Arabidopsis thaliana: one gene and its partners. The protein of the gene in region 3 interacts with the protein of the main gene of each other region in a biochemical or structural test. Each region holds a gene or a part of one and is shown on either strand. Other genes may lie near its edges.

Region 1 (7,885 bases), on a different chromosome or scaffold from region 3:
GGACTAGGGACATAAAGAATGAAAATTTAATGTGACGGAATGCGAAAAATTTGAACTTAAGTTATAAAAATTGAACCTTTTGAAGAGCACCGAGGCATCTGGTACAACCGGAGTAAGAAGAGTTCCGGCATTCTTTTTCAAGATTCTTCACGGCGGCGGTCGGAGTTGCGTTTTTGAAGCCGGAGGAGACATTGAAAGCGGCGGGACAAGAGAGTGAGCTAATCTGGTGGAGACGAATACCACAGAAGCACAAGATTGCGTCACAGCTAGAATTAGGCTGAGGGATCTTGATTTGTTTAGTCAAAAGCGCACTTTGCAATGTGTTGACGCACTTCTGAGAGTCGTCAGGCTTCATGGGTTCGTCGGGATCAGAAGATTCCGGCGTTGGAGCAGGAGCTGGTAACTGGAGAGCAGAGCGAGCGTGAGCTGCGAAGAGCCAAGCGGCTAAAACAGGGCAACATCGACTCCGGTCAAGGTTTCTTCCGCAAGCTTCGTTGACGCCACCGAATAGCTCGTTGGAGAGGTCAAGTCGGCAGCTTTGAGCTTGGGTTTCGACGGGGAAGGCTGGTACGGTGTTGGGTTGGACCGGTTCGACGAGTAGGTTGCTCAAGACGGTGGAGAAGAGGAGAGAACAGAGGAGGAGGATGAGTAGAGTGAGACTTTTCTTCATTCTAAATGGCTAAAGAGAGAGGGAGAGAAATGGATTTAGATATTGAAACGTTTTCTCAAATCTGAGTCTTTTAAGATTCTGAGATTCACGAAGAAAAGCAGCCTTCCATTATTCACTATCTTCTCTCTCTTTTGTTCTGTCCAAAGGACTATTGTGAAGAGAGAGAGAAGAGAGATGTGAGGGAAGAAAAACAAGAGATTCCTGACTTTTGGCAGTTTCTGGTTTGTTTTAGAGTCTATAATCCCTTTGTAAACTGTGTTTAGCTCCGGAAATTATAGGCCTTGTCTTTTTGTTTTGTACTACTAGTTCTAGTAGTAACTAAGAATTCTTAACTACATGTCTACATTAGTAACTAAGCATAATGTATAGTTCATATTTATCCATGTACATTTGTAATGTATTTACATGTTCATGTATATAACATGGTGGCTTTTAATTTCGCAAAACGCTAGCAAAAATATGTGAAAGAGAAAAATTTAAAGATAGGAGTTAGAGAAAATAAAAAAAAGATATGAATGGTGGAGAAACATAACGAGCCCTTAACGAGGTGGGATGAGATGCGAATGGAGCATAGTCACAGGAAGAAAAGGATCGATATCTAAAGGACAAAACACAAAAACTCTCTACAATCATATATTAAATCATTGATACGCTTTATGAGCATTGACAAATCCAAAAATAAAAAGAAATAAACCTCTTATTTCAAACGGGTATATGAATATGAGCCGGAGGCCAGCCTAGGGAAACGGTCCGTCAGGGAAAAAGGTGAAAACTCCAAAAGGCGAGAAAAAAGGAGTCGTCCCCACTTTCACTAATGCATTTCCTAATCTTCCTCTTTAAGTTCCAAATTCCACCAATTAAAGCATTTTCACACGTTCTTTGTGTTGCTTACTTACCTGCCCATACCAATTAGTCAAAATGCCTTCATCCCTCAAATTCAAATTATCTATATAAGACTTAGATTTAACTGTTCCACACTTATCTCTTGCTTGGAATTGAAAAGTGAAAATATCATTTTATATAGACCAAGTTTAACTAACTCATATTATCGATTTGGTTTTTAGAAAATAGTTCTACAAGCTTCCGGAATATAGGCCTTAAATTGGCCAAATTAACGGCTTTAAAATGAACTTGAATTGGGCCTTGAATTGGGCCTAAATGATAGAACTCGCATAAACTGATTAACTTGATTGACGATGATTCGAACAAAGCAATATGAATATGTGATGTGTTTGACGCTAATAATTCTATGTTTGCTTCCGTCAACTGTGTATATGGACTAATGGAGCAGAATTTAGATATCTCGCCTAAGCAGATAATACATAAACATTCATGAAAATTTTATAGACTAATAACTTAATATCTTTTGAGAGAATAAAAACAAGAAATTTATACATCAAACAAAAGAAAGAATGCAACAAAGAATCATATGTGTGAAAGCAAGACATGTGTATGCAAATGTTGAAAATTAAAACATAAAGTCATCTAAGATGAAATCTTCCGGAATTCCAAAGTCGAAGAAAGTGCTGGAGTTGGTTTCTGCTTCAATGCTATTTTGTCGTGGAGAAGACATTGGCGTTGACATGAGCGAGTCTAAGTCAAAACTCTCTGACAAAGGTGGTAATACATCTGCAAGACCAACGTCGTCGAGTCTTGCGTTCATAGGCTCCAATGATGAAGTTTCATAGTTTGTTGGGACTGTACTAGTCTCAGCTTGTGGTTGAGACGATTCTGATGATGTATTTGGAGTTTGAAGATTTTGGTCGAGGTTCGATGGGTAAACTGGATTAGGGTTTTGAAGTGGCAGTAGTAGAGAGGCCAACCTCAATACATCAGGATTAAGAAGAGAAGACGCATGTGTTGCAACTGCTGAAAAGTTTGGCTGGTTGAAAAGTGCACTCAAAAGTGAGGACAAATCAAGAAGATCAAGGCGTGGAGAATGAGTAACAGGGTCGATACCACTCCTTACAAGTCTCTTGCGGATGTGAGTGTTCCAATGGTTTTTTATTTCGTTATCGGTCCTCCCTGGTAGACGAGCGGCTATTGCTGACCACCTAATATTCATCAATTCAATATTAGTGACATTAATCTATGATCAATACAAAACTCCTTTATTATTATTCTAATATAGGTCAATACGTACTAGTAAAGTACTAATAATAGTTTATTGGAGTTGATGGCCTACATTTGACATGTACCCCCGCATGCAAACGTACACTCTCCCTTTTTGAGTTTTACATTAATTAACATACAAAAGCATGTAGCTGATGAATATGAATTTCAGACAAAAATTATGGTGTGAATGATCAGGCTTACTTGTTTCCCATAACACTGTGTAGCTGAATGATAGTTTCTTCTTCCTCGAACGAGAATCTTCCTCTCTTGATGTCCGGTCTTAGATAATTGGTCCATCGAAGACGGCAGCTTTTTCCACATCTATGGAGTCCTTTAATTTGTACAATACGACTTATAAGTGTGTGACTCAATAAATAGAGAACATATATATTAATCTATGAGAACAAAATATAAGGAACGGTGTGTAGTTTATACGTACCAGCATTTTTGGGGAGCGTACGCCAATTGCCAGGACCATGAAATCGAATATAATCGATGAGTTTCTGATCCTCCTCAGCAGTCCATGGTCCCTTCTTCACTCCATTTTTATCACAACAAGGTGATCTTCCCATCTTTGTTTTGTTTCGCACAACTTTAAATTTCGATAATGATTTGGTTCTGTTATTTAGATAGAAAAAATCGAAGAGCCAAGTGGAGTTTCTTAATTTTCAAAAAGAGGAGTTGGATTTTAGAAATGTCAATGTGTGGATGTACTCATACCTTCTCCGTTCATTTGTTTATATAGGGATGTGAATTATGCGAAGAACTTTATCAATGTAGAAGAGAGCCAAGGTCAATTCCACTTGGCATGTACCTAATATGCCACGTCCTTTGAAATATACAAAAGGTTATAAACCTTGCTTAGACTACATATCGCCTAACGTTTTTTTTTTACTGTATATTCTAGAAACGATCCACGTGATAGTATGTATGGTATTTAATATAATCTATCTATCTAACTTAGATTCTGTTAGTTCAAATAATAATATCTTTATGCGTATATTTTGGAGTGATAGAATGTTCTTTTGTATGTTAATGTAGATAAAGTAATGGAACTAAGAGATTAAAATAGAAACCTTGTGGGGGTAACTTCGGCGGTGAGAGTATTTTATGTTTACCTTATGGTGGTGAGAGTCAGAGTGAAGCACATTAATAATTTTGCATGTTTTGCTTTTTGTTTGTGGGTTAAGTTGTTGACTTTGCTTAAACAAAAAAAGAGATGTTGACTTTGCATGTTAATATAGGTAAGTTGACTTTTACATAATGTTTGGTTTAAGAAAACCTGAAAAATTAAGTATGAGAATATATGTTACGTTGAATTTTGGAACATAAAGCCTAGAGTTTCAAAGGTTAAGAGAGTGAGGACGGTAAAGTAGTTGGATATTCTCATCAAAAAAACTTTCAAATAACGTGTTAATGTCATGTGCCTTGTGCTTTTAAAATTGATGATTGCAACATTTTACTTATGCAACGTTATTCCAAGTTTCAATTGCTTGTGGAAGGCTCTCTCCGAACAAGCCATCCACGTTGGCACTACTTAGACGATTTCAAAAAGCAAATTAAATAACTACAAAATTGCAAAAGAAGTGAAACTTTTTTATTTTATTTTTTATGTTTGTTAAATTGTTGGTGGAAAGCAGTGCAACAAACTTTGAATTCGATATCCCCTTTATCACAAGAACCACAGGCTTCTCCGAAGTTCACACCGAAGCTTATTGTCTACATTTTAAAATATTTTCACCTTCTTAAAATAGCAATGTGTGGATTCATGCAGAAGGTGACACATGGAAAGAGATGTGATGTGGGGTTATCCTTTCACTTCTTTTTTGCATCATTCTATCTACTCTTAGGTTTCTCTTCTGGATTGGTCATCGTCAGAGATTTACCAAAGGAAATCGGTCATCGTCAGAGATGATGTATTGATGTCAAGTCCAAAGATTGTGTCTAAGTCATGGCATTAGGAGATTCTCGAACAAGGCCTAATACTATAGCGCTTTTTACTTAATGGGCCATTAGTGGAATTAAGCTTTACACCCTTAATGGGCTTAATTGCTTGTAAAAATGAGCTCATCAGTGACGGGCTAAGTTACACTTTGTAATTGCGTTTAACCTTAATAAGTTAAATGTTATAAAATATAAAACAAATGATGACAAAAAATTAATATTTGTAGAATATCTAAATATGTATAAATTGGTATAAATATATTAAACTAAAGAAAAGTATGAAATATATGAAAGATGATATATAATACAAAGACAATGGACTCCATTTCCATATGTCAGCAGTAAATTAGATATAAATCCTTTAACAAAAAAAGTAATGAAAAAAGACTGTAATTTTTGACAAACAAAAAAAGCAGTAATTACTAATTAGATATGCATGTTAAAGATCACGTTTTCATGTGCATAAAGACCATTTAAGAGTACTAGTGTTTTTATCTATATAAAAGAAAAAGGAAAATCAACGTTGTGCCTTTAACCTTGTTCTAACTCCTAATTAGTCTTGGTATAGCAATACCATTAACAAAAGGTTATAAAATCTTCAGGATCTCCATTATTTAAATCTAATTACTTTTTCAAGACACGATAATATAGTAAACTTTATCTTTCAACCCCTTGAGAGATTTCATGGTATGATGTCTACTTCGATCGTCTTTTGCATGATTAACGATGTCGATTTTATATATTTGTTATTTGATTAATCTTAAATATGAATACTTGATGAGTGTTGATATGTGAATGGTTCAGTCAGAGACGAGTATGGAAAAATACAAGAATTTATCAGATTTCCTTAAGAAATTCTTCATACCTTCGTACGTTCTCTCGCCTGAAGACGAGCCTGAGGCGCAAATCAGTTGTACAACTGCACCTGAGAACCCAATCCTCGTATTCATCAACTCCAAAAGCGGAGGTCAACTAGGTGCAGAACTCATCCTTACCTACCGTACTCTGCTCAACGACAAGCAGGTCTATAATATATCAATTTAGGCTTTAGCCATAGACTAATGATTCATTGGTTTTTGAAATTGGCTTCTACAACAAAAAGTGATGAATTCGTTGATTCTTCTTAAATACGTAACTTGATTGATTTTATATCTGATTTTAACCTAAAAACCCTAAAAATCAAACTTGATTGAAATATGGAAACTAATTAAATTAGATAACTGTCTACATTATTTTACTGATGATCATTATCATATATTATATTTCCATGTTTTTTAATTGGTTATTAATTATAGCATATTTGGTACTCAGGTTTTTGATCTGGAGGTAGAGACCCCAGATAAAGTGCTGCAGAGAATTTATCTTAACCTAGAGAGGTTAAAAGACGATAGTTTGGCTAGCAAGATTCGGGACAAGTTGAAAATCATTGTGAGTTATCTTCATCGGTACGTAAATAGAAAAGGTGTTAATAATTTAGTCATTTGTCATTAAGCATGAGTTATGTTTAATTTAGGTTGCAGGGGGAGATGGAACAGCTGGTTGGCTCCTTGGAGTTGTTTCTGATCTTAATTTATCCAATCCACCTCCAATTGCTACGGTTCCTTTAGGTACCGGTAACAACCTTCCATTTGCATTTGGATGGGTATGTATATATACACTGATGATCACTCAAATCATATTATATCTCATAGAATATGTTTCTTCTTACTAAATCTCATCATCTTCAGGGTAAGAAAAATCCTGGAACAGATAGGTCTTCGGTGGAGTCTTTTTTGGGTAAAGTGATCAATGCAAAAGAGATGAAGATAGACAAGTATATATTCAATTACACATATATCATTCTCTTTCAATTTTCATATATTATACTTTGTTTTTGGATTGATATATGTATGCATTTTATATCTTAATCAAGTTGGAAGATACTTATGAGGATGAAGCATCCCAAGGAAGGCTCTTGTGATATTACTCTTAAGCTACCACATTCTCTTCCTCGTATTTTCCCATCAGATCAAGAAAATATGGTAAGATATTTTTCTTCTTTTGCGCATCATCTCTTTCTTTTATTCTTATATGATCAGCATTATTCTTTTCAAATTTTCAGGAAGGTTACCATACATATCGTGGGGGATTCTGGAATTACTTCAGCTTGGGTAACATTTTTTGCTCTTTACGTTCCACGTTGTGTTAGGTGTGAGATAAATGATATCTAAACATCATGTCAATGATATTTGAAACTTGGATTATAAATTAATTGTATGAATTGTCATGTTCAGTACTTCCACTGGTTGGTTGTATTTGTGGAAGATACAAGCTAATCCCTAATCAAATTTTACTGCAGGAATGGATGCTCAAGTATCTTATGCATTTCATTCCCAGAGAAAACTGCACCCGGAAAGGTTTAAAAATCAGCTAGTTAATCAGGTTTGCATTACCTTTGCTCTTAAAGTTTTTTTTTTATGTTGTCTTCAATTGATGTGGCTCTAATGTTTACATTAGTGGGACAGTTGTACAATATATTTCACGTGACTAAATTACACTAATATGTAATGTTTCCATTGATTTCATGACCTTCCAGAGCACATATCTAAAGCTTAGTTGCACACAAGGATGGTTTTTTGCCTCTCTTTTTCACCCTTCTTCACAGTGAGTATATTTTTATTTTCTTATCCATTCTTTCCAATTTCGCTTGCCACTCATTAAAATTAGACGTCATCTTATAGTTTCGATGTAACTTGATTTCATGTGTATATAATTTTGCTCTCAATTGAATCTATGCCGTTTGCTGCAGAAACATAGCTAAGCTTGCAAAAATTCAGATTTGTGATAGAAATGGCCAATGGAATGATCTTCATATTCCCCAAAGGTAACTGTATAAGTAAAAGGTTATGCAAGGCTTTCTATTTGTACAATAGAGAATATAGTAATTAACATAAATTTTTGTTCTGGCAGCATAAGGTCCATAGTATGTTTGAATCTTCCTAGTTTTTCTGGAGGACTAAATCCTTGGGGAACACCAAATCCTAAGAAACAACGTGATGTAGGTTTTTATAAACATTCTCTTGCTTTATTAATAATCTTACTAAAACGTGGTTCTCTTTTTCTTTCTATTGTCTCAACAGAGAAGCCTAACTGCACCATTCGTTGACGATGGACTCA
Region 2 (7,604 bases), on a different chromosome or scaffold from region 3:
TATTTAATCTCGACTAAGATTCCGATTGCAATTTTTATATATTAAAATAAAATAAAAAAACATGGTAATCTGACAAATTGAGAGATTCCACCTGTTTAATGTGTTTTTTCATAACTGAAATTTACGCTTTCTAAAGTACATTAATAGCAGCATATTTATAAACAAAAACACATTAGCTTATAGTATTTAATACCTTCAAAATGATAAATTTCGTTTGAACTCTTTATAAGGTAAAAGCGTACCCTTTAAAATAATAACCACCCAAGTCCCAAATGTCATATATGAAAATGGTTTACGTATTTTTTGTCACGAGATGTAAAATATTTATATGCAAAAGCTCCTACACGGGGGACTTTTTGGTATTCTTTCATAAAAATAGATCGTGCTTTAGTAGCATTAGCATCCATGGCGAATCGAAATGGGTGACACCTTTTAGTACAAGTACTTGGGCCGCAACACTTGGGGACAATTGGGTTTTGCTCCACCACCATAACCTACCATTAATTTATGAAGGGAATATTAAAGCAGAACAGTGTTTAATCTTGCTAATCCAAATTCTTTTCCCGGCAATTGCTAAATGTGAAAAAATCATTAACGAAAAAATTTGAACATCACTAATATAGTACCTTTGGTATCTCAGGGATTGACAAATGCTCAACTCCTCCTAAAGGCATATCTTCTTCCACATGCTTATCTCCTTCCGCCGGTTTATCTTTTTGTGGCGGTTTGTCTTCCTCCACCGGTTTATCTCCTTCCGCCGGTTTATCTTTTTGTGGCGGTTTGTGTCCCTCCGCCGGTTTATCTTTTTGTGGCGGTTTTTCTTCCTCAGCCGGCAATTTATCCTCCTCGACCGGCTTATCTCCTTTCAGCAGATTGTCTTCCTTGGATGGCTTGTCTTTTCTCGGCAGCTTATCTCTTTCTGGCGGCTTGTCTTCCTTCAACGGATTATCTCCTCCTGATTGCTTGCCACTTTCTGCCAGCTTGTTAGGCCCATCAGGCCTACCTCCTCGTGCATGCAAAGTAGCTCTGGAATACTCTTCTTTCCTAAGTGTCATTCACACATACATAATGTTAACTAACACACAAAATAAAAATGTGGTCAATGCATGTATGAACAAATTTCAATTGGTACAATCAAAGCATTAGAAGAGTTAATTAGTTACTTTAACTTAAGTAATTACTTGTAGAGCCATATGAGGAGGGCGATCCCCAATGCTCCGAGGCTACCAGAAGCTAGGAACCCCGTTGCCAAGAAACTCGATGTGATTACCGCCGGTACGAGAATCGGACTAAGAACCACCAAAACCGGTATCATAACGGTTAGAGCCACGGCCGTACCGGCAAAGGTTAAACCGGTGAGGATCATGAAGGATACGACGGCTATACCGGCATAAATAGGAGCTTTGTCTTTCGTGCCAAAGAAATGCATTTGGCAGTAATAGAAATTTTGTTACAACGTAATCTGATTGTGTATTAAAGAGTGGGTCCAGTGGTGAGATCGACGTGTACGACACATGACTGAAGAGAGTATTTGTCCTGTCCATGCATGCAACTGACACCTTTGTTAGTGAAGTTGCTCTACCTCACGCCAAGTTACTTCGCTTTTTTTGTTCACATCTTTTTTGTATGTATTAAAAAATTTCACATTTTTTTGGCCTCGTTCGTTTACTTTTCTTCTTTCGTAAACACACACAAATTTGAAAAAAGGAACTCAACTATTATATATCAATTTGAAAAAATCGACACAATATGTGAAATGAAAGATATGAACTAGAGATAATTAGCAGGCAAAATAAAATCTGATAAGTATTGCAAGTTTGCGACGAACAAAGAGTGAATCAAAAGACTGCAATTAAACAAAAACCACAGTATCTGCAGGCTATATGAAACTACAACTTCAAAATGTTACCGGATAAATTAGTTTCAATTTTCGACGATATGTAGCATAGTGTGGTTAATTATATTGACGAAACCTTTGTATTGATTGCAATTATAAGTGTAAATTTTGGCAAGTTGATGTGTAAGCTCCTTCGTGGATCCAACAAATAATTAACAGCTATGGCCGATGGCGTTGATGAGTGGTCGCTTCTTTAGTCATAGCGGTCAGACAATTCAACTTCATTTTATTTTATTTATTTATTTTGCCATCATTCAACTTCATTTCTTGGATGAAACAAATTCAACATTCAAAATTTTTTTTTTTTTAATATATATATAAATTATAGATATTCCATTATACTTTAGTTTCCATTGAAACCACTATTTGATGGATGATTCTTCATTTATTCTTGTCGACCAAATTAAACTTCTAATGGTTTTAGGTCTGATTAGTATTTCTTTCAAAAACAATTTTCTTTTAAGAGAAAAGGTCATATTACTAAGGAATAGCAAAGAACTAAAACTAATAAAACAACTAGCTCTAAGCGTTTTTTTGTGCATCACTATAACAAGAGACGTGCACTTTTAATTAGTAGTTTAGTACTATATAAAACCCTATTACTTGTGTGGATTTCGACCAACCTATAACAAACAACGTTTCGGTATAATTTTAAGAAGAATATATCACAACAACAATGTCATCATTATATTTTGCTATCCTTTGCCTCTTCATGATTTTCCTCGTTCCTTTACATGAATGTAAGTACATACATTTTTGCATGCATATAACTCATCATCTACCATCGCAATTATAGTTAGTTTTAACTCCTATTTTCTCTTTTGTTATAGTTGGAAACGCACAAGGTTCTGAGGCGGAGCTGCAATTAGATCCATCAATGTGTCTGCGTGTCGAATGTGCAAAACACAGAAATCAAAAATGGTGTTTTTGCTGTGCCGGACTACCGAGGACCTGTTTTCTTGATAAACGAGGCTGTACGTCTGTCTGCAAGCGCGAATCTCCTTCAATGGCTTAAGAAACTTGAAGAACCCATATCTACAATTTACTAATTACGTTTAAATTTCTCTTGATATATGAATAAATATAAGTTTATGGAAAGGAAACAATTACGATTATGCTTATCGTAATTTAACATATTTTTTTTTATTTTTTTTTATGTTTATGGTAATTGTGTTACCATTGCAATTTGCATGTCTACGAATTCGTCTTGCATTGGTAATCCAATATTCCATGTGATGCTTTTCTTTCTAACTGAAGGTATTCGTGAAAACGAATTCAAGATTGTGGGAGATAATTAGGGTTTCGTCAAAAGCATGAATTAGGAAAATTTGGGATTGATTTTTTGAATTTGGGAAAAGTCCTAATTTTAATTCGATCAAAGCTTAAATGATGTCGTTTTGGGCTGACTAACGAAGTCGTTAACAGGTGCCAACGAGTGTTAAAAATCTGTTATCGCTTGATAACTCTTTGGTTTTTTAGTCTAATCAACACATTCTCATGTTTCAAACAGTTAATCAACATATTGTTCATGTTAAAAAATTAACACATGTGAAATTGATATATAAAAATATCATATATTTTCAAAAGTTGGATCATTAAATAAAATTTTTCCCTATTTTTGAAATAATTCTAAAACAGTATTAAAGATATTTCCTGAAATTGTTTGCATGTGATCGGTTTTGGACCGAAACTAAAAAACTTAGAAACTATATTAACTTTGAGTTGTCGAGATGAAGATGTGAAATAGAAATATAGGATCAATGGTTAGAATTTTGGCAAATGTATGAAGGTGTGTTTGATTGAATATTCCAAGTCCTTTGCCTTTTGGAATTGGCATAACTACTACAACAAAGTTTTGATAGGTTTTCCGAATTCTTTAAACTCCTTAAATTTTTAATACATCTCAATCAAACTCCACTTATACTAAAAATAATCCATATTGCATTTTTAAAAATTCTAAAAGAAGAATCACATGATAACTTGATAAGCACTTTTAAATGATAGATGTCCACGTAGAGGAATAAGACAAAAAGACAAAATAAAGAAAAAGGACGAAATCTAAAGAGAGAAAATAAGTAACAAGTCCAAGAAAAGGTAGTATGATCTTTCTCGGTCCGATCCTCGAAACTCCCTCGAAGGCTCGAACCCTCTCTTTGTTTTTTTACCACTATATAAGAAAGTCCGATTCCTCGTCACTCTTATTCCCACTTCCACACATACACATATACAACAGAGCAAGAGAGTCAATCAAGTAGAGTGAAGATGGCAACTAAACAAGAAGCTTTAGCCATCGATTTCATAAGCCAACACCTTCTCACAGACTTTGTTTCCATGGAAACTGATCACCCATCTCTTTTTACCAACCAACTTCACAACTTTCACTCAGAAACAGGCCCTAGAACCATCACCAACCAATCCCCTAAACCGAATTCGACTCTTAACCAGCGTAAACCGCCCTTACCGAATCTATCCGTCTCGAGAACGGTTTCAACAAAGACAGAGAAAGAGGAAGAAGAGAGGCACTACAGGGGAGTGAGACGAAGACCGTGGGGAAAATACGCGGCGGAGATTAGGGATCCGAACAAAAAGGGTTGTAGGATCTGGCTTGGGACTTACGACACTGCCGTGGAAGCTGGAAGAGCTTATGACCAAGCGGCGTTTCAATTACGTGGAAGAAAAGCAATCTTGAATTTCCCTCTCGATGTTAGGGTTACGTCAGAAACTTGTTCTGGGGAAGGAGTTATCGGATTAGGGAAACGAAAGCGAGATAAGGGTTCTCCGCCGGAAGAGGAGAAGGCGGCTAGGGTTAAAGTGGAGGAAGAAGAGAGTAATACGTCGGAGACGACGGAGGCTGAGGTTGAGCCGGTGGTACCATTGACGCCGTCAAGTTGGATGGGGTTTTGGGATGTGGGAGCAGGAGATGGTATTTTCAGTATTCCTCCGTTATCTCCGACGTCTCCCAACTTTTCCGTTATCTCCGTCACTTAAAACTTCGGAAAAGTCAACGTACGATGACGTTTTCACTTGCGTCACTCTCATGATTTCATTTATTCTTGTATAATATAAAGGTAGCGGTAGTGTGCAAATATCAAATAAGTAGTTTAATTAGTACCAATCATTTTATTCATTATTTTTTTTAGTAGAATATTTGGATGTTGAAAATATAAATTTAATTTTGTATTTGTTGATGTTATAAATTTATTGATTGTATAAACATTCTTAGTCATCAGTTTCGTTAAGTCCATATCTAAACACTTCATATCTGCTAAATAGTCAATAGATTATAAAATTGGATCAGGAAAAAGTAAATCGGAGCTATAAAAAAATAGTGTGCAACGAAAAGACAATTAATTAGTTAAAAATACATACAAATCTAAACAAATTCAAAATTTCAATAGTGGAAAACACCAATCAAATGGATAATGCTGTCGAAGATTATCTACAAAGCATCAATAAAAGTAAATAATTAATATTATCTTACATGCTATTATAAAAGATTATGAGATTAGGAGTATAATTGTCAAGCAACTGAGCAAGAGGGTAAGGTTTGGTTATTATATATGTGGAGCCCTATACGAAGTTATGTAGAAACAAAGAAATATCAAGTTGCTTCAAATCATATCCTAGCAAGACAACCCTACAAGACAAGCAATTTGATGAATTTGTCTCTCCTTTTTATTCGAGTGAAAGTCATTATCTTCTTATCTTTTTACTCGAATGTGAATATGCAAAATATCTTTTGATATTTAAGAGCTTACCTAGTGAGTCATTACTACTACGAAAATCATATATCAATCTTATCATAAAACTTTTAAGATAAAAAAAAAAAAGAAAAAACTTTTGAGAGATTGGCTTTTAAAGACTTAAGTTACGATTATAAACACTAGTAGTTCAAGTCTTTTTGGTTTTGGTTTGTGTTATGTTTTAGATTTAAAATTTCAAATGAACCTACGTCCTTAACCAACTCAATCAAAATTCTAGTTAAAAAAAATAATCACCATTTTGTTAGCATTCAGCTTAGGATTCGAACCATGGGTAGCTCAAGGTATTTTAAACTCTAGAGGAATAAAATGGATGTTAGTGAAATTTGTCAGCATCATAGACAAGATCAAGTTGGCACAACTTGAAGGGTCCTGACAAAATATCTTAAGTTGCCTCCATAAATGTTTAATGGATAAGACTTGGCCCCACAGAGTTAAACCAGAGAGACACAGAGAGAGACTTTTGACACCTCACCCATGGCTGCGTTAACACATGTTTAGGATTCCTTTCTTTATATAGCCAACAATATCATCAAAACTTTTTCTTCAAACACCACTTGCAGTTTTTCTTATTCTCCTGTCTTGTCTAAAGAAAAAAGAGAGAGGAAGAAATGGAGACTTTTGAGGAAAGCTCTGATTTGGATGTTATACAGAAACATCTATTTGAAGACTTGATGATCCCTGATGGTTTCATTGAAGATTTTGTCTTTGATGATACTGCTTTTGTCTCCGGACTCTGGTCTCTAGAACCCTTTAACCCAGTTCCGAAACTGGAACCTAGTTCACCTGTTCTTGATCCAGATTCCTATGTCCAAGAGATTCTGCAAATGGAAGCAGAATCATCATCATCATCATCAACAACAACGTCACCTGAGGTTGAGACTGTCTCAAACCGGAAAAAAACAAAGAGGTTTGAAGAAACGAGACATTACAGAGGCGTGAGAAGGAGGCCATGGGGGAAATTTGCAGCAGAGATTCGAGATCCGGCAAAGAAAGGATCCAGGATTTGGTTAGGCACTTTTGAGAGTGATATTGATGCTGCAAGGGCTTACGACTATGCAGCTTTTAAGCTCAGGGGAAGAAAAGCTGTTCTCAACTTTCCTTTGGATGCCGGAAAGTATGATGCTCCGGTCAATTCATGCCGAAAAAGGAGGAGAACCGATGTACCACAGCCTCAAGGAACAACAACAAGTACTTCATCATCGTCATCAAACTAATGGGGGAATAGTGATGTTTAATTAGTATATATAGGTTAATATCTTAAGTATGTGAAGCATCATGTATAGAGCCAAGAACCTGTTAGACTAGTGTACTGAAAAGAACTCTTGCAAAATATGTACTAAAGAGTTCCTGTAACAATGGAACTTCTGCGTTTTCTCTTGTCTTAAAGAGCTTAAGGTTCTAGAAACAAAGTTCTTGTCCTTTCGGTTTATTCAGAGTACACTATTTGGGAAGACAAGAGGACCTAAATCTATCGACTACATTTATTTATTAATCTACTGTGATACTTAAAATCGAATTTCTACCTGAAAGACCTTAACATAAGCCTTAAAGTTTCTCCAATGACACAAACAGTACCGTACAGTGGCTTCAGTATTCACTATTCGATATCACTGAGGTATTAATTAGTTCACATGTCCAGAAAGCGTGAATCAGTGAATTGAGTAGAAAGATGAACAAGTTGCAAGAGGGACCAAGTTTAAAGAATATAGCAGCCAGAGTTTTGTCTCATGGTTGGGTACAAGTCAGCATTCATTTTTTAAATATGACAAAGAATTGGATGGACCACACGCAACAGCTCAAGAGGGGAGAGATGCACAAGTTGCAATATGGAAAAGTAAACAGAGGAAGATATGTATTAACATCTCAACCTCATCGTTGAGATGGATGTTGATTATTATTATTAGGAATAACTAAAACCAAAGAATTCTTATAAGTTATAACAA
Region 3 (8,986 bases):
TACTGCAAGATTGTAATACCAAAGATAACAATTTTAAGGAGAACTAAAATGATGACCTCATCTGTTAAAGTAGAAGAAGATAAAGAGCGTAATGAAGATATTACAGGAGATAACAAATCTTGATTACTTGTACCAAAGAGCAATGTTTCGTTTTTTCTTTCAATAAACAAAATGTCTCAAAGCACATCGTCGATTCTAAAGACTTCAATTCCACTTAGAGTTGCAAAGGTTTCACAGCTTTGAAATTCAGATCTCTCCCAAGTAGATATTTTTATCACTACTGCAAGATCCAATGATAGGCTCGGTTGGGTGGAAAACACACTCATTGACAGAACCGGTATGGCCTGGGAGCTTATATATAGTGCGCCGACTGGTTGTGTCCCAGATATGAACCATACGGTCTGAGCTACCGGCAGTAACTTTTGTACCATCAGGTGACCATGAACATTTCAGCAGGTTCTTCTCAAAGTTGTGTTGATGCCCCTCAAAGATCTTTACACATCGGTTTTGTGGAGCATAAGGACGCATGTCCCACACACAGAGCTTGTTGTCCATTCCATTAGTGAGAAGGTAGGAACCGTCTGGGCTTAAGCTCATACCTGTGATTGTATCTTGATGGCCCTCAAGTGTCATGGTGGCTTCACCTTTTCTCAAGTCCCAAACCTTAACATCATTGTCTACACCACCAGTGAAAATCTTATCAGCTGCATCTGAGAAACTGACTGCAGTGATTTGGTATTTATCAGGAAATGTTTGTATGGCTCCTCTTTGACGCATGTCCCAAAGCTTGGCAGTTCCATCATCAGATCCACTGATGATAAGAGGTGGCCCTCTACGTGTAGGACAGCAAGAATTCACAAACGATGAATGTTCAGCCATCTTCTTGATTTGTTTCCCAGTCTCAACATCCCAAGCCCTTACAGTTTTATCCGGACTAGCTGATACAATCTGGGAGCCATCACTGGTCCAATGAAGATCAAGGATGGCGTTCTTGTGACCTTTCAAAACCATGAAGTTTTTGCAGTCCCCGTGAACTCTCCAGAGGAAGATTTCTCTGTCATGGGATCCAGATGCAATCAGAGTTCCAGCAGGATTGAACTTCATGGTATAGACAGCACTCGGATGTCCACTTAGCAACATGATAGGTGCTTCCAAGCTCGAGGTCCGGTTCTTGCCATTGGGACCAGGTCCTTGAGAAGCACTGTGTGGGACGGTAGACCATTCCATCGGCCTAGGACCTGACAAAGCAGTCTCATTCTCTCTTGACATGATTTCCATCTTAGCCTACTTCTCACTGGTAATCAAGTTAGAACCTGGATTCCATGAGAAAACGAATCAGAAGATTGAGCGAATTATAACAATATTCACACAGCTGTGTAGCTTTTATAGATATCTCAATTTCAAAATTTTCAAGCCATTAATCAATATAACATCCGAAAAGCAGATAGTAAACACCAAGAAGTATCATGAAACCTGCACATTCTAAGTAAAGCCTACAAAAGCAAAAGGTTGCAATGTTTATTCTCAAGCCGCAAGTAAATAAACACAGATCATTAAGAAATCGATATCTCTCTAAAACTTGTTGTGGTTTTGCACCAGAGACGAAAAAAGGACTTCAAGTCCGGTTACAGAGATCTCACAGATTCAATTTTGACATAAAGCAAAGCAACCACTAACACCAAATTTAGTACTAGCAGCTCGATTCGTCTCAAAATCGAAACATACATGCATGATTCACCTCCCATTATATTACAGACAGTGAAGAGTTCAAGAAAAAAAGCTTGATAGATACCAAAATTCCAGCAGAAGACTTCATAGAACGAAATTACTTAAAAGAGTAACCCTACATAGAAAGAAGTTACGCACCGAAGTCAAAGGAAGGGGAGGGAGGCACGAATCGCTCGGTGTCGTCGCAAAATTACCGGAACCCTAAACCCAGAGAGAAAAAGCTCGCGAGAAAGAGGAAGAGAGAGATTCAGAAATTAAACAAGTCTGTATTTAATTTTGGTTTATTTGCAAAATATTGATAAGACCCTATTTTATGACGGAATGAACCCGATACTATTCTTTTTGTCAAAATAACCCATCTCCTGCATGTTTTTTGGGCTGACAAATTGGGTTTCTTTTGATTGATTTTGACGGCGTAGTAACAGAAATTTATGGATAGCCACACCTTAGCTTAGACCAAACGTTTAGGTACAAAGAGTATGATAAAGTTGAGAACTTAAGACAATGTCAAGAACATCAAAACCATGTCCTGATCATACATTCTCTTGTTTAATCAATGTATTATAGATTGGACTGAGACTCAAACACAGATGCCACTCGATGTCAGAAACGAGCCACTTTCGTGACAAAAGAAGCTTGGAAAGCAAAGATAAATAACGGGTTTGGTTGGACATATCAAGCCAGTGAGGATTAGACCTTAGATGGAACCTTGGTGTCAGTGTCCACCTGTTTTTGGCCTTCGAACTTGTCTATAGCCACTTGAAGCTCGTCTGTGCCACCAACCGCCCTCATTGTGTAGAAGTATACCCCAAAAACAAAAGCTGTCAAGCCACCAGCTACAACCGTGTTCTTGCCTTTTGGGCCTAGGTAACTAAAACCTGGAAATCCCGCCATTACTTCAAAGTCTTTAACCTGCAAGATCCAATGTGTCACATGTTACAGAAGAGACCCAAGTATCAGAAGTATTAGATTATGTTATATCTTCAATATCACAGTTTCATAAATACTAAGATGAGGAATAACAAGAGAGAACTCTGAAGCATGATATAACAACTTTTGATTACTCTTTTTAACATTGCAGAAGTGACTCCAGAAGCCCTGAGGCATCGCAGGACATTGACATATTGTTCATATAGTGAAAAACAGATTACACAGATTGAATACGACGAATTTTCGAATTGTTATACTTATACCTCATCCTAAGAACTACTACGCCAAGAGTAAGTGATAGTACTCACAACGAGATCAAAGATGAGTACAATCATGGTATGAATGAACAACTGAAAGTTGCAAAACATTTCAGCAAAATAGAACTTTCTTCTGCATCATAATGGAAACGGAGAGAAAATCAATTGGTCACATTCATGCCCATCAGTCTAACATAATTGTCCACAAAATCAGCGCACTTCCCTTTAACGAGTCAATCAACCATAAATCATCAACCAAAGCAAAAATAAAGGCAATTAGAAACCTAACTCTACATCTATACATCCAAAGCTAACATCTTTTAAACGCAGGCTACTGTTACTCAACCAAAGTTCTCAAAACCAGATCAAAATGTCAAAATGAAAGGAGAGCAGAAAATATCAATCAAAAATTGGTTCTTTAAGCAAATTACTCCAAAGTCCACAAAATTAAAATGGAATCGAAAGGAACCTGGTGATGAAGGTTTGATGATCACTCGAAAATCCGAAAGATACAACAAAGCTGATATTTTTTTCTTCTACAGAGAATCGTGCCTAAATGCGACAGAAGCCTAAAGTTTCCCTATTTAGTTGACAACTGGTTCGGTGACGCTTAGTGTCGTGGCCACTTACCAATCTATCGAAAACCCTAAACCCAGTAAGAGCTCTCGTGTGAAAGAGGGATAGAGGCAGAAAGCAAGCCGTCTCGAGTTCGAACCCAACTGTATAACACAAGAGAAGAGATTTATTGCTTCATTATGTAAAAAATATTGAGATGATCCTTGTAATTTTGGAATATTATCAAATTGAACCACCATACTTTTTAAAAATCCAAATAACCCTCAACCAAGCATGTTTCATGTTGTGGCCTCATTCACACTATACGACTATCAAGTTCATCGAAATTCTTGATAGAGAACTTTAAATACTTAAATAGTTAATTTAGATACTATCTAATAACTTTTGGCGGTTTATAAGTTTTTGTGTTTTTCAATCTACATAAAATTTAGCGATTTTTCATGTTACAAAAATAATCTCAAAATTAAAGTACAACCCAAAAACATAATATCAATGATAATAACTACATTTATCTATGATTCATTTTCACCCAACATTTACATTCAAAAAAATGCTGTTGTTACTTGTTAATGATAACGATTAAGGAAGGAAGTCAATGGAACAAAAAAAAAAATGGTGATAAGTCAATGTAAAACGATGCCGTTTGTAACCATAACAGTGTTAAACATGAGAATAAAGGATCAAACTTTGAACAGTGGCTTGCTTGCTTGCTTACACACACGGGTCAAGTGAAGACCCAAAAAAAAATAAAAAAATTAATAGATCCGTACGCACATGACTTTCACTTCTTGTCTCTCAGATCTGTTTTGACCCCAAAACCAACGAATATCAATTTCTCCAATTTCATTCATAATTCACTCACCCCAAAATTACAAAAAAAAAAAAAAAAAAAGATTTTCCATTTCCCTCTTCTCGATCCACCACCACCACCAACCTCAAAAGCTTTCATCTTTACCGGTCATGGACGGTGGTTCAGGTCAACCGGCGGCTGATACAGAGATGACAGAAGCTCCTGGAGGTTTTCCCGCGGCGGCTCCATCGCCTCAGATGCCTGGGATTGAGAATATTCCGGCGACTCTTAGCCATGGTGGTAGGTTTATTCAGTATAACATATTTGGAAACATCTTCGAGGTCACCGCTAAGTATAAGCCTCCGATCATGCCTATTGGCAAGGGTGCTTATGGCATCGTTTGGTAATTTTTCTCCGATTCTTTTGATTTTTGGCTTTTGCTTCTAATTGAAATAAAAAATGATTTTTGTTGATTGGGTTTTGGTAAAGTTGGTTACTTTTGATCCGCAATTTGTAAAATTGATTCCTTTGTATCGTTTTTGAGCTCTAATTATGATTGGGATTTATTTTTGTTTCAATGAAAGCTTTATCCTTTTGTGGTTTTATTTGATTTTGATTTTGCAGTTCGGCTATGAATTCTGAAACTAACGAGAGCGTTGCGATTAAGAAAATTGCTAACGCTTTTGACAATAAGATTGATGCTAAGAGGACTCTCCGTGAGATCAAGCTGCTTCGTCACATGGATCATGAAAATGTCAGTTTTTGCTCTTTCTTTGTTAACTAAGAGTCATCTGTTTATAGAGTCTTATGTAGAACATAATAGGATTGTAGATTTAAATACACTCGAAACATGGTAACTACTAGCTGATGCAAAATTGTTTAGGTAAATAGATGATGTATATATTTGATTGATATTGTATGGGCTGATTAGGTTCTGTGTATGAATGTGTTGTATCTGGTGGTTGCTTATTGCATTTAGATTTAAGGGAATATACATGAATGTTGACACAGTGTGCTTGTATTTTTTTCGGTTTGATACGGATTGTTTCGCGCTTATTCAGTAGTATGATCTTTTCCATCTGCGTCAAGATTTTAAATTCTAGAAATCAAATCGTAAAATGTAACCGTTTATCTATGTTGGCGTTTGCAACGTGTAAAACATTTCCGATTGATAAAACACTTACCATCTTTCTGTTAAATCAGATTGTTGCAATCAGAGATATTATCCCGCCACCATTAAGAAACGCTTTCAACGATGTTTACATCGCGTATGAGTTAATGGACACTGATCTCCATCAAATCATTCGGTCAAATCAAGCATTATCCGAAGAACATTGCCAGGTTTTGAGTTTTGAGATTGTTTGTTGACCTATATAACTCGACTTGAAAACGGGGACTAATTGAACTCCATTTCACTTGTCTCTTTGTGCAGTATTTTCTTTACCAGATCCTCCGTGGATTGAAATACATTCACTCTGCAAATGTGCTTCACAGGGATTTGAAACCAAGTAATCTCCTCCTGAACGCAAACTGCGACCTAAAAATCTGCGATTTTGGGCTAGCTCGAGTCACTTCTGAGAGTGATTTCATGACTGAATATGTTGTCACGAGATGGTACCGTGCACCAGAGCTTCTCTTAAACTCTTCTGATTATACTGCAGCTATCGATGTTTGGTCTGTAGGCTGTATTTTCATGGAGTTAATGGACCGTAAGCCACTCTTCCCTGGACGAGATCATGTCCATCAGCTTCGCTTGCTCATGGAGGTAAGTAGTAACCCTTCTTTGACCCAAAAATAAGCTTTGAAGCACTAAAGAAACAGACCGAGACCATTTTCTTTTTGCAGCTCATAGGAACTCCATCAGAAGAAGAGCTCGAGTTCTTGAACGAAAACGCAAAGCGATACATAAGACAGCTTCCACCTTATCCTCGCCAATCCATCACTGATAAGTTCCCGACAGTGCATCCTTTAGCTATAGACCTTATCGAGAAGATGTTAACATTTGATCCTAGACGGAGAATCACAGGTTAGTCCCTAACCTCTATACCATTTTTAACTTGCAAAATAACTGGAATTGCTTGTACGGATCATTCCAAAATCCCGAAAAAAGATTCAATCTAGTGAAGGAATAATAATAATGAGTTCTTGGTTATTTAAGAGTTAGTTAGTAGTCATCACCTCTTATTGATTCTTGATTCTCGATTCTTGATTCAGTTTTAGACGCATTGGCCCATCCATACCTGAACTCGTTGCACGACATAAGCGATGAGCCAGAGTGTACAATACCTTTCAACTTTGATTTTGAAAACCATGCACTCTCAGAGGAGCAGATGAAGGAACTAATCTACCGCGAGGCGCTTGCTTTCAATCCAGAATATCAGCAATAGTTTGAAGAACAGCATTTGGGAGATGAAGATGAGATAAGGGTTTGGCGTTATTTGGTTTGGACAACATTCTTAAAAGGAGGAAAGATCATTGTTTGTCTTTTGTGTATACTTGTGAGAGATGTTGAAGGGGATGGGTCTCAAACTTTATATTTCAGTCTTTTGGATAATTTGTTCTCTCTGTTTTTTTTTTTCCTATTCGTATTTGTAATTTGCCCTCATTTTGTTGTTGCAGTTATTTAAGACTTAAATTGTCTCAGAAATAGTTATGTTATGATAGCCCACCTTCAATTCCTCTACAAAATACTTGCCATTACTGTCAGCTTTCTTGTTTTATAAAACAGCAGGGAGAGAAATATTGCAGGGAGATGAGGATAGTACAAATCATGTCCTCGGGGTGAAAATTGAGCATTTGATGAACACAATCTCAAGTCTTGCACTGTGTCAACTCTTAAGACTGCCAAAGAATTTTGATTGTGGTGCAGGACCATCAGCCTCATCTTTACTTTGGTTTTGAGTGTCTGCCTCTAGACTTGTGTTTCCTCTCCCTCTTTGGCCTCTTAGAACTTGACCTTGACTTCCTAGATTCGTCTTTGTCACTACTTGAAGATTCAGAAGATGAGCTTGAGTCTGATGATCGCCTTTTCGAATGCTGCAAATCAATAAACACAATGTAAGCTAAAAGCTTCAAGCCAACAGAATTATAGAAGATGTTCAAACTAAACTCGATGCAGTTGTTATGTAAGCACCTTTCTCTTTTTGCTTTTCTTCCTCTTGGAATCTCTGCACTTTCTATCTGTGAGCTCTCTCTCCTTCCTATCTGTAAGATCAAATGGCATATTAGAAAAGCAAGACTCGAACTGCGGATTGTATGACATTCCATCTGCTTAAATTTATTGTAAGTGTATACCTTTCCTGGATATGTCACTAGAATAGTTCCTTCCCTTAGAGAGCTTCATTGCCCTTTCAGCATCTAGCTGAGCTCTATACTCACGCATCAATTTATCGGTATCTGCTTCGACTTCTTGCTTTTTCAATTCTTCTTCCTAAAGAGCGGTCACATGAAGCATATAGAGTGAGAAACATTTCTTATCTGTCGATGCTCCTAAAAACATCGATTTATCGATCAGCAGCTATACCTTTTGCTTCTGCTTATATTCTTCCCAAGTAAGAGTGTGTGTAGTCTTGAGACTGGCCAAACGAGCTGCATGCCATTCTGGTGAATGAAATGAACCATCCATCTGCGACTCGCCTCATCAGAAATGTTTTGGTAACAAGATAATAAGCATAAACATAACAATCTAGCCAGATTAACATGACAGAGAGAGGAACAAAGTAGCCCTAAACAAAGAAACGTTTTAAAACGTGATATTTAGCGTTTTGTTGTTTTGTTAAGGATAATATTTAGCGTTTTGAAGTTCAGATGGATTTGTTTGGGCTATTTTCACCTATCCACTCTTGTAATAGTCTCTATATATCCCATGTTATCACGACGTCAATAACATTTTATGAACTTATATTCCATAGAAAAGAATACTTTGAACATGAAACGATTATTAAAAAAAAGGCTATGGAGGATGTTGAAGTTTAAAGTAAAAAGGTGTTATACCTCGCCGTGACCAATGTACTGATCTTAATCCTCCTGAAATTAGACGAAAAGCTCTATAGTTGGCTGACCTAAAGAGGGGAATGTGTGTGCTATCGGATCATAAAGCCTTTGGTAAGTGGCTTGTTTCCATTCCATTTTGAAGATGCTATAAAGGATCTCTTTGATCACATTTTTACAGATTTTTTTCAAGATGGCAATAAAGAGGCTGATAGGATAGTCAAAGAATCACATTTCTATAAAAGTGTGTACTAAGGTTCTATTCCATTGTGCCGGATTGGTTAAAATTGTATGTCAAGAAGGCTCATTAGTCTTCATTGTATTAAATATTGGAGTAATGAATTCAAGGGATCATATAATGTTTTGTTGAGAAAACGGTCCATATTGTTTTATAATGGGCCTAAAGCCTCGTTATAGTAATCGTTATTTTGCAAATAAAACCAAACTATACACGAGCTTATACAACAAATGTCACATTTAAACATAGTTTCTTTAAGAAAAAGAACTAATCATTTCTAGTGAATTATTCAAGTGAAACTAAAAAGAAAAGAAGAAAAAAAAATCTAGATGAAGCAAGCTAAAGCTATTGTAGCACTTTAGCTTTGGCTTTCCTATTTTTGCCAACTTTTACTCTTTTTTATTTAGTTTTCTTTTACTTTTTTTCCCACAAAAATCCAATCCTATGCAAAAGATTTTGCCTTTCACGTCGTTTGGA
Region 4 (7,491 bases), on a different chromosome or scaffold from region 3:
TAGAAAGTTTCCACTAAATAATCCTCAGCGTTTAACACTTTTCTTGGTCCTACATCTATATCCACAAACAATCCCCTTCTCAAAAGAGCCTAGTATTGCCACCAAATCATTAAGACAGCTATTTTTCTATATCCAGAAACAATCCCCTTCTCAAAAGCATACTAAGTAGACAATGTTCTCTTGAGTTTACAGATATACAGACTCATAGAAAGGTTTCTCCTTTCGTGATCTCAATCAAGAATCTTAAAGAGAAAGAGAAGAAACATACCCTCAATACCAGAATGGAAAATGCCAATCCCAAACCAATAAAGGTAATTGTTGACAGGCGTTAGATCATAGACATTGAGATAAACCGGCGTAAGCGCGGCTTCTCCACTGCTCTCATCCCTCTCATCACTTGAACATGAGCTTGAGCTCAATGTAGGCACCCACATTTTACACACAATATCCCAATTCAAAGTCACGATCGAACCATTCCTTTCTTCCTAAACCTCTGCAACACTAAAAAAAAAAAAAACTGATGGTCATATTCATCATATAAACACCAAAAGTAACAATCAAATGTTCCATAACTTAGATCAAAATAATTGGAATTCAAGCAATTCGAACATAAACAATCAAACATGTATACAACTTCTTCTTTGGCGACTAACGAGAACAGATCCAAGGATTCGATTCACACAGTAGCAATTACACATACAATCAAAAATCTAATCCTCTAAAAGAAAAATCTATCCAATCGCTCGAATTTCAAATCAGGAAAGCCACGAAACATAATTGAAATTGGGCGCGTGCGTTTTCATGTACAACAATCGAGCAAGAGAGATCGAGAGAGACGAGGAAGACGAAGGAAACGGAGCTTACATGAGAGTCGAGCAGAATGGGATTGGTTGGGAGAGAGACTGCAAAAATGATCGAGAAAAGTTTATACACGGAGTTTTTTTCTTTGAAGATTTGCTTTTTTTTTTTGGTTAAAACTTAAGCATATAAGTAATGAACAAAACAAATAAAAGTCAAAGCTAAATATTAGTTGGCAAAAAAAAAATCATATATGTATTTACATATTTAACACGTATGTACTAATATAATTTTCATTGATTATTACACTTCAATATTCAATTTACCCCCCTTTACTTTAAAAAAATATATTCAATATACTTTCTCTCAAATTTTTTGTTAGTTGATTTGTTCATTTTAATTTTTTTATATATACTGAATAATAAAATTTATTTGAAGCCTCGTATTTGGTTTCACTGAAAGAAGCGATACCATTTGAGAATTATGGTGTTCACATCCGTAAATATAGATATGATTCGGATTTCTAAAAAGATAAACAAAGAACCAAAATTCAGTTTTACACACAAGAGATTATTAAAGTTATCTAAATAATCTATTAGCTGTATTAATGACTTAACGTAAGCAGTGGTATATAGGGAAAAGTTGATTTGTGGTATAAAAGTCTAAGATTGGATGAGAGAAACTCTTAAGGATCGACGTATAGGCGATGGTATAAAAATCAAAATGGAAAGCTTTTACCATGCAAAAAGAACCATAGCATTTTTGTTTTAAAGAAAGAAAAAAAAAAGAAGGAAAAGAGTCATAGATATTACCATGCAAAAATATGGAAATTGTAATATATATACGTGATTCCCATATTATAAGATTAGAGCTTTTTCCGCCAAACTAATTTATTAATTGTAATTATTGATTACAAATTTATAGATATTTCAAAAATGAAGTCACAAATGAGAAATGAATCAAATGAAACAATCTATAGAAAACAAGATATTATAAAAGTCAATTAGTCAGAGTTTATACATGCAAAAAAAAAAGAGTCATGGAGCTTTCAAATATTAAGTCACAAATAGGATATAATCGAGACTGCTAAAGATGTTACGGTAATAAATCCGAGCATATTACATGCCATTGAAAAATAATACGTTCTATGATAAAAAGTCATTTGATCGGAGCTTCGTGTTATGTGTTCTCTGTTCTTTCCATATTGATTCGCCTTTACATGCGATTTTTGTCTCAGTAGCCGCTAAATAAGGTGATTGGTTAGAATTTAGAAATATCAAGAGTTGTATTAAAAAACAAATAAACGAATGAATAAATTTTGCTCGAATGTGAACATAAAATAAGCAAAAGATATAGCATAATTCCACGTCAGCATACAACAAGCTGACCCAAACAGAAAAATAGAATTCAAACAACGGTCAATTGTGGATAACCAAACGGTGGGTGTGGAGATAACGGCGATAAAAGCGGCATGCTCAGAAACTCCGTCAAATCCCAGTCATCTATCGCCGTCAAACCTGACTCAACATTCTCGCCGCCGCTAACGTCGTAACTCTCCTCCGTCTTTAGCACTTTCTCAACCACCGTCACTTCCTCCTCCTCGCCGTCTCTCTTCCGTTTGTTGTACAGGCCACGACCATCTTCAGCGCGTGGATTCCACTTGTCAACTTCAAGCGGGAAATTCAGAATCGCCTTTGATCCTCGTAGTCTAAACGCTTCTTTGTCGTAAGCTCTAGCCGCTTCGATCGCCGTCTCAAACGTCCCGAGCCAAACACGAGTTCCACGACGAGTCGGGTCTCGAATCTCCGCCGCGAATTTCCCCCACGGCCTCATCCTCACTCCTCTGTAATGCCTCTTCTCCTCTGCTGCTACAACCGGTACGGGAAGTTCCGGTTTAGGATTTCCGGTTGCGAATTGAATCCACTTGGTTCGGTTCGGTGGTGCGATCTTCAACGGCGGTTTTCGATTGGATTGAACAGTAACGCGAGGAGGATTCGATTGGAACGTGAAGGAATCGTTCGATTCAGATGGAATTTCAGATTTCACATCGAAATCAAAAATCTCCGGTTTGGGAGTGACGAGATCGATTATTTCCGGTTTGGTTTCAAATTCAGAAAACTCGAAACCGGTTTGATCAAATGACGTGAAATCGTTCATCCATCGATTGGTGGTGGCAGTAGTAGGCAACGGAGACAATTCGTCGAGGAGATACTTCTTGATGAGGAAAAGAGCTGATACTTCGTTTGGTGTAGCCATTTTGGAGGAAACAGAGAATTGAAGAGGAAGAGGGATTTGATTTGACAGTGGAGAAGAGAGAGTGGAAAGGTGTATTTATAGGAAAGAGTCAAGTCAATGAGAGACTCTTTCAAGGCAACATCCTCAGGATTTTTTAAACTTAAAATCTAAAATTATCAAATGCGGGATGGTGTATGTACACGCGTGTTTCACCGGTTTTACACCGTTTGATTAGATTATAAACCCCTCGTCAACGGTTTGATCGTGTGGTTCATCAATGGCAGCTGGGGTAAAAAAACAAAACACAAATATTTTAATTAGGCTGCGCTCTAATATTGGGTTTCTTTGGCAGATGATTAGACAAGAATTTATCGATTCATGTTTATCAAAATATTAGTACGGTTTAGTAATAGTTATTATAAAGTACCTTTCGTGTTAATATTTGATTAATTTACTACTCGTTGTGAGAATTCTTCGCATGCATGCATTTGCAATATCAAAATTTAGCGGCCGTATCAACTCAATGTTTGGATAAACACACGTTTTTATATAAAAACTTATGATAGTTGCAAAATTTGATGGAAGAAAAACACTGGTTTTACTTCACGTACGTCGGATGTTATTTTTGTTTTTGGATTAAAAATATTTTAGTTATGAAGACTAGATTCTCTTTGTCGAATGTCGACGATGTTTTCGTATGGTCGCCAACATTTTGTGGACAAAGACCCATGGAATTCTCGTATAGCTGCCCAAAAACATTTAAAAAAAAAAAGTCCAATAATTTCAAGTTCAACCAGTAATTTGTTCATCCAATCTCTACATAATCTTTCGGGATAAAATATCCATTATTTTTGTTTTATACATCTCAGACCAGAAAGCTGTTTTTATTTCAATGATCAACACTATATATATGTTCATTTCTAGCTGTTATATAATCACTGAAAACTAAAGTGTTGTTAAAATGTTGCCGAACATAGTAAAACATTACACCGATAAATATACATTTTTATTGTGTCTACGGGTACAAGCTACAAAATTATAAGCTTATCGCTTCATTTGTAAGTGAATAGATATTACCTTACGTATAAAACATAAACTAAAACGCAAACACACAAAAATGCATGCATAATTAGACTATCAGAGGAATCGTAATATTAAAGTTATAGTCTCGAAAGATAAGGGCTGCGTAATTAGCGGAATCGTAATACTAATTAAGTTCTAGTCTCAATTATTCTACAATAATTATAACCAAAAATATATATTTTACAACAACAAACCATGTGACCACTTTTGGCTTTGGTTGCTGCTTTCGAACGTGATATATCCATTTTACGTCTTCGTACGAATGTGCTTACTTCATCATAGATATTGATTCATACTTGAAACTAATTTACAAAGCCTAACACACACATATGCAATTTTCTATCAGTATGACAATTTATACTATATATATGAAACATATTGCTCAAGGCTTATCCTAGATGTAGGTTTAAATGAATCTTCTAATATATTTTTCAAATCAACGTTTTCACTTATTTAAAACATTTGTAAATAATTTACATGTCTAGTTCAGCTCTGTGTGTCTGTCCAGTACTTATGTTCTTATTACAAATATCTTTGTTTCAAGGGAAATATCAATGGGTATTGCCCAGACGAATCCATAATTAACTTCTCAATAATTACAGAGTATTCATGTTTACTAATTCGTTCCTACAAAAAAAAATGTTTGCTATATTCGTTCATGTTAGCTATAGTTTTTCAAGTTTTTCTGGAAATCTAGGATGTCAAAAACTGAAAGAAAAAAATCTAGTACTTAAAAAATCAATTATTGATTGATTTCTTCTTATCATTAGTCTTTAATTTTTATATATATATATATAAACATGCATTATACATATTTAAACTGGGATAATGGTACCGTTACACCAGAGTTGTGTGTTAGAAAACAGCCAAATGCCAGAATCCACAACAAATGAAAACTTAGAGCCTAGAGGTCCACATGTTTCCAAAACTAGGCTTATGTTACGTATTTGAGTTTAAACTAATTTCTAGACTCTTTGTTTAACTGAGTCTAGAGAGGATGTCAGTTAGATTCTTTTTATTTAAAAAAAAGTCAGTGAAGAAGTTCGATTATGTAAATATCGTAAATGTTTTTTTTTTACAACAAGAGACATAAATTGTAAACTACCCTTAAGCCTCTAAAACGTAGTTAACGAAATTAGACGAGATTAGTATTAACCACTATACAACATGTCCTACTTTCATACTATATTTTCTTTATTAAATTTTTGTTAATATGTGAGATTTCCTGTTCTAATTTAGTTATTATTCTATAAATTTTCTAAGAACCAAAAGTTTTCATATGTTTAACGTTATTATTCTATAATTAATCATCATTTTAATTTACCTTTGTTAATTTTTTGTTCTAATTTAGTTATTATTCTATAAATTTTATAAGAACCAAAAGTTTTCATATGTTTAACGTTATTATTCTATAATTAATCATCATTTTAATTTACCTTTGTTAATTTTTTGTTCTAATTTAGTTATTATTCTATAAATTTTATAAGAACCAAAAGTTTTCATATGTTTAACGTTATTATTCTATAATTAATCATCATTTTAATTTACCTTTGTTAATTTTTTGTTAACATGTGTGATCGCGGTCATAGTTCAGTTAATAAAATAAGAACGAAAAGTTTGATCGTATAATATACTAGTTCATACTTAAATTGTTCTTCTCGAATTCCATTCAACAAAACTATTCAATAACTTCCTTAATAGAATATTTATTTTTTGGCAATTGGACATAAATAGTTACTCTTTCTGAACAGTATACTACAATTAAGTTGGAATATGTAATTTCTACGAAGGTACTATAATACTATTCTATAAATACTTGTGTGTAAAAGTAATCAAAATGCATGTATCCAGTCTATTTCAACCATATGATTGAACACGTGCATTTCTTACATTTATCTCACTTTTATATATATGGTGTACAGTTTCAACTTTAAAAACTGAAAATTGTCAAAAGTACGAATATTTAAAGAAAATGTTTGAATGCTTTTTTCTTTTCTTCTGGTAAGTATGTTTTTGTGTTTTGTTAAAATATAAAAATGAGAATTTTAGAATTTAAAAGGATATATAGTTAAATTGGTAAAGATCTTAGGCGAAATTTAGAGGTTGTCAGTTCGAGTGACGTTTGGAACGAAACTAACATTACATGCTTTGGTTTCGAATCTGGAGGAATTACGGATTTCGGCCCAAAACCTCATAATATTCAGGAAAAAAAAAAAAAGGATATTTTTTTTTTCTTTCTTGAAACACCATTTCTATTAAAAGTAGTTTTCTTATGCGGGGAAAATGGGATAGTTTTCTTAATCTTTCAACGTACCAACAAACTTTTAAAAGTATTCTTTGTTGCCAGAACAAAAGTATACCATCTTTGTCGAAGAACTCAATTGCAGTGGGAATGCACGTGTGGTTTTGTTTTCACGTACACAGATGTTTGTAGAAAGTTTGAAAATTCTTATGGTCAAAAGTCTCACACGACCGGATTTGGTCAATTTCAAAGCTGATGTGTCATAGACTCATTCACTCATATGCTTCCCCTCTTTCAAATGTATACCATTTTTTTTTGTTAAACTCAATAAATTATTAAGAGAAACTCAAACTATTAAGTATGTAAACTAATGTCTTATATATTCTAATTTTTTAACGTATCTTTGTTTTAACGTATCTTTTAAACTACAGATTCGGATGATTACGAAAATTAATAATTATGAATATTCAAATAAAATGGACAGTAATTCTTATATAAAAAATCCTTTTGTCAATAATCTAACCAATGATTCACTCCAAACTCATCTGACATCTCTATAGGCCCTTATTATGATTGGTATGTCCATTTTGGAAGTCGTCATGACTTATGAGCATAAAATGAATACATGAATACATGTTTTGCAGTTTTTTTTTGCTTCTTAAACAGTTGATGTCTTTAATTTGTTTCTTGTAAGTTTAAGATGTTATCTATTTATATACCTTGTTTCGAAATTTGATTGTCCCATTATGTTTCTGACGTGGAATTAAAACCCAATGAGAATGGGGTCCTCCTGTTAGATTTTCCAACAACGATAAGAATATAGAGGTTGATGTGATTTAAAACCAATAGAGGCAGCGCAATTGAGTAATCATCATCTTACCATCCTTCCTCGAAGTAGTCTTCATTGCAAGTTGGCAAAAGCGAGAGACCCACCCATTCACTTTTTAACTTTTAGTTTAGCTCGACATGAGAGAAATTATATTATGAACAACTATCTTTAGTTTAGCTCACATGACGGGGTTTTTTTTTTGAGAAAAGAAAATTTTGAATTTTTGGTTTATCATACAGGAACTATCTTTCTCCGGCGGGAATTTGGAAGTCATTATGCCCATTAAGGAGTCATAATATATATT

What was found.
Region 1: of the proteins of MPK6 (region 3) and MYB41, one has a biochemical effect on the other in vitro, tested with the Arabidopsis thaliana proteins (2 studies listed by BioGRID, with this or other methods).
Region 2: the proteins of MPK6 (region 3) and ERF104 form a complex in vitro, tested with the Arabidopsis thaliana proteins (one study listed by BioGRID).
Region 4: of the proteins of MPK6 (region 3) and ERF6, one has a biochemical effect on the other in vitro, tested with the Arabidopsis thaliana proteins (2 studies listed by BioGRID).

Annotation. Positions count from the first base shown.
Region 1 is NC_003075.7:13,966,028-13,973,912, forward strand, and holds MYB41 (myb domain protein 41), read right to left. Parts: upstream 3,499-7,885; 5' UTR 3,358-3,498; coding exon 3,225-3,357; intron 3,117-3,224; coding exon 2,987-3,116; exon of another isoform or gene 2,736-2,986; coding exon of another isoform or gene 2,725-2,735; coding exon 2,139-2,724; 3' UTR 2,002-2,138; downstream 1-2,001. Other genes in the region: AT4G28100 (uncharacterized protein), read right to left, coding at 77-670; DGK6 (diacylglycerol kinase 6), read left to right, coding at 5,525-5,752, 6,041-6,157, 6,243-6,371, 6,457-6,542, 6,642-6,750, 6,831-6,879, 7,068-7,150, 7,305-7,372 and 3 more.
Region 2 is NC_003076.8:24,763,924-24,771,527, reverse strand, and holds ERF104 (ethylene response factor 104), read left to right. Parts: upstream 1-3,795; 5' UTR 3,796-4,159; coding exon 4,160-4,885; 3' UTR 4,886-5,184; downstream 5,185-7,604. Other genes in the region: AT5G61610 (Oleosin family protein), read right to left, coding at 276-494, 627-1,044, 1,182-1,429; AT5G61605 (EMBRYO SURROUNDING FACTOR-like protein), read left to right, coding at 2,574-2,637, 2,728-2,912; AT5G61590 (Integrase-type DNA-binding superfamily protein), read left to right, coding at 6,270-6,875.
Region 3 is NC_003071.7:18,134,026-18,143,011, forward strand, and holds MPK6 (MAP kinase 6), read left to right. Parts: upstream 1-4,220; 5' UTR 4,221-4,451; coding exon 4,452-4,684; exon of another isoform or gene 4,685-4,905; coding exon 4,906-5,035; intron 5,036-5,484; coding exon 5,485-5,622; intron 5,623-5,713; coding exon 5,714-6,046; intron 6,047-6,126; coding exon 6,127-6,307; intron 6,308-6,495; coding exon 6,496-6,668; 3' UTR 6,669-6,963; downstream 6,964-8,986. Other genes in the region: AT2G43770 (Transducin/WD40 repeat-like superfamily protein), read right to left, coding at 247-1,278; AT2G43780 (cytochrome oxidase assembly protein), read right to left, coding at 2,419-2,640, 2,967-3,026; AT2G43795 (corepressor), read right to left, coding at 7,110-7,317, 7,415-7,481, 7,576-7,711, 7,805-7,906. UniProt on the Arabidopsis thaliana protein: Mitogen-activated protein kinase (MAPK) which regulates abscisic acid (ABA) responses in a MAPKKK20-MKK5-MPK6 cascade involved in root growth (e.g. root cell division and elongation) and stomatal response.
Region 4 is NC_003075.7:9,750,768-9,758,258, forward strand, and holds ERF6 (ethylene responsive element binding factor 6), read right to left. Parts: upstream 3,395-7,491; 5' UTR 3,055-3,394; coding exon 2,206-3,054; 3' UTR 2,057-2,205; downstream 1-2,056. Other genes in the region: AT4G17486 (PPPDE putative thiol peptidase family protein), read right to left, coding at 269-434.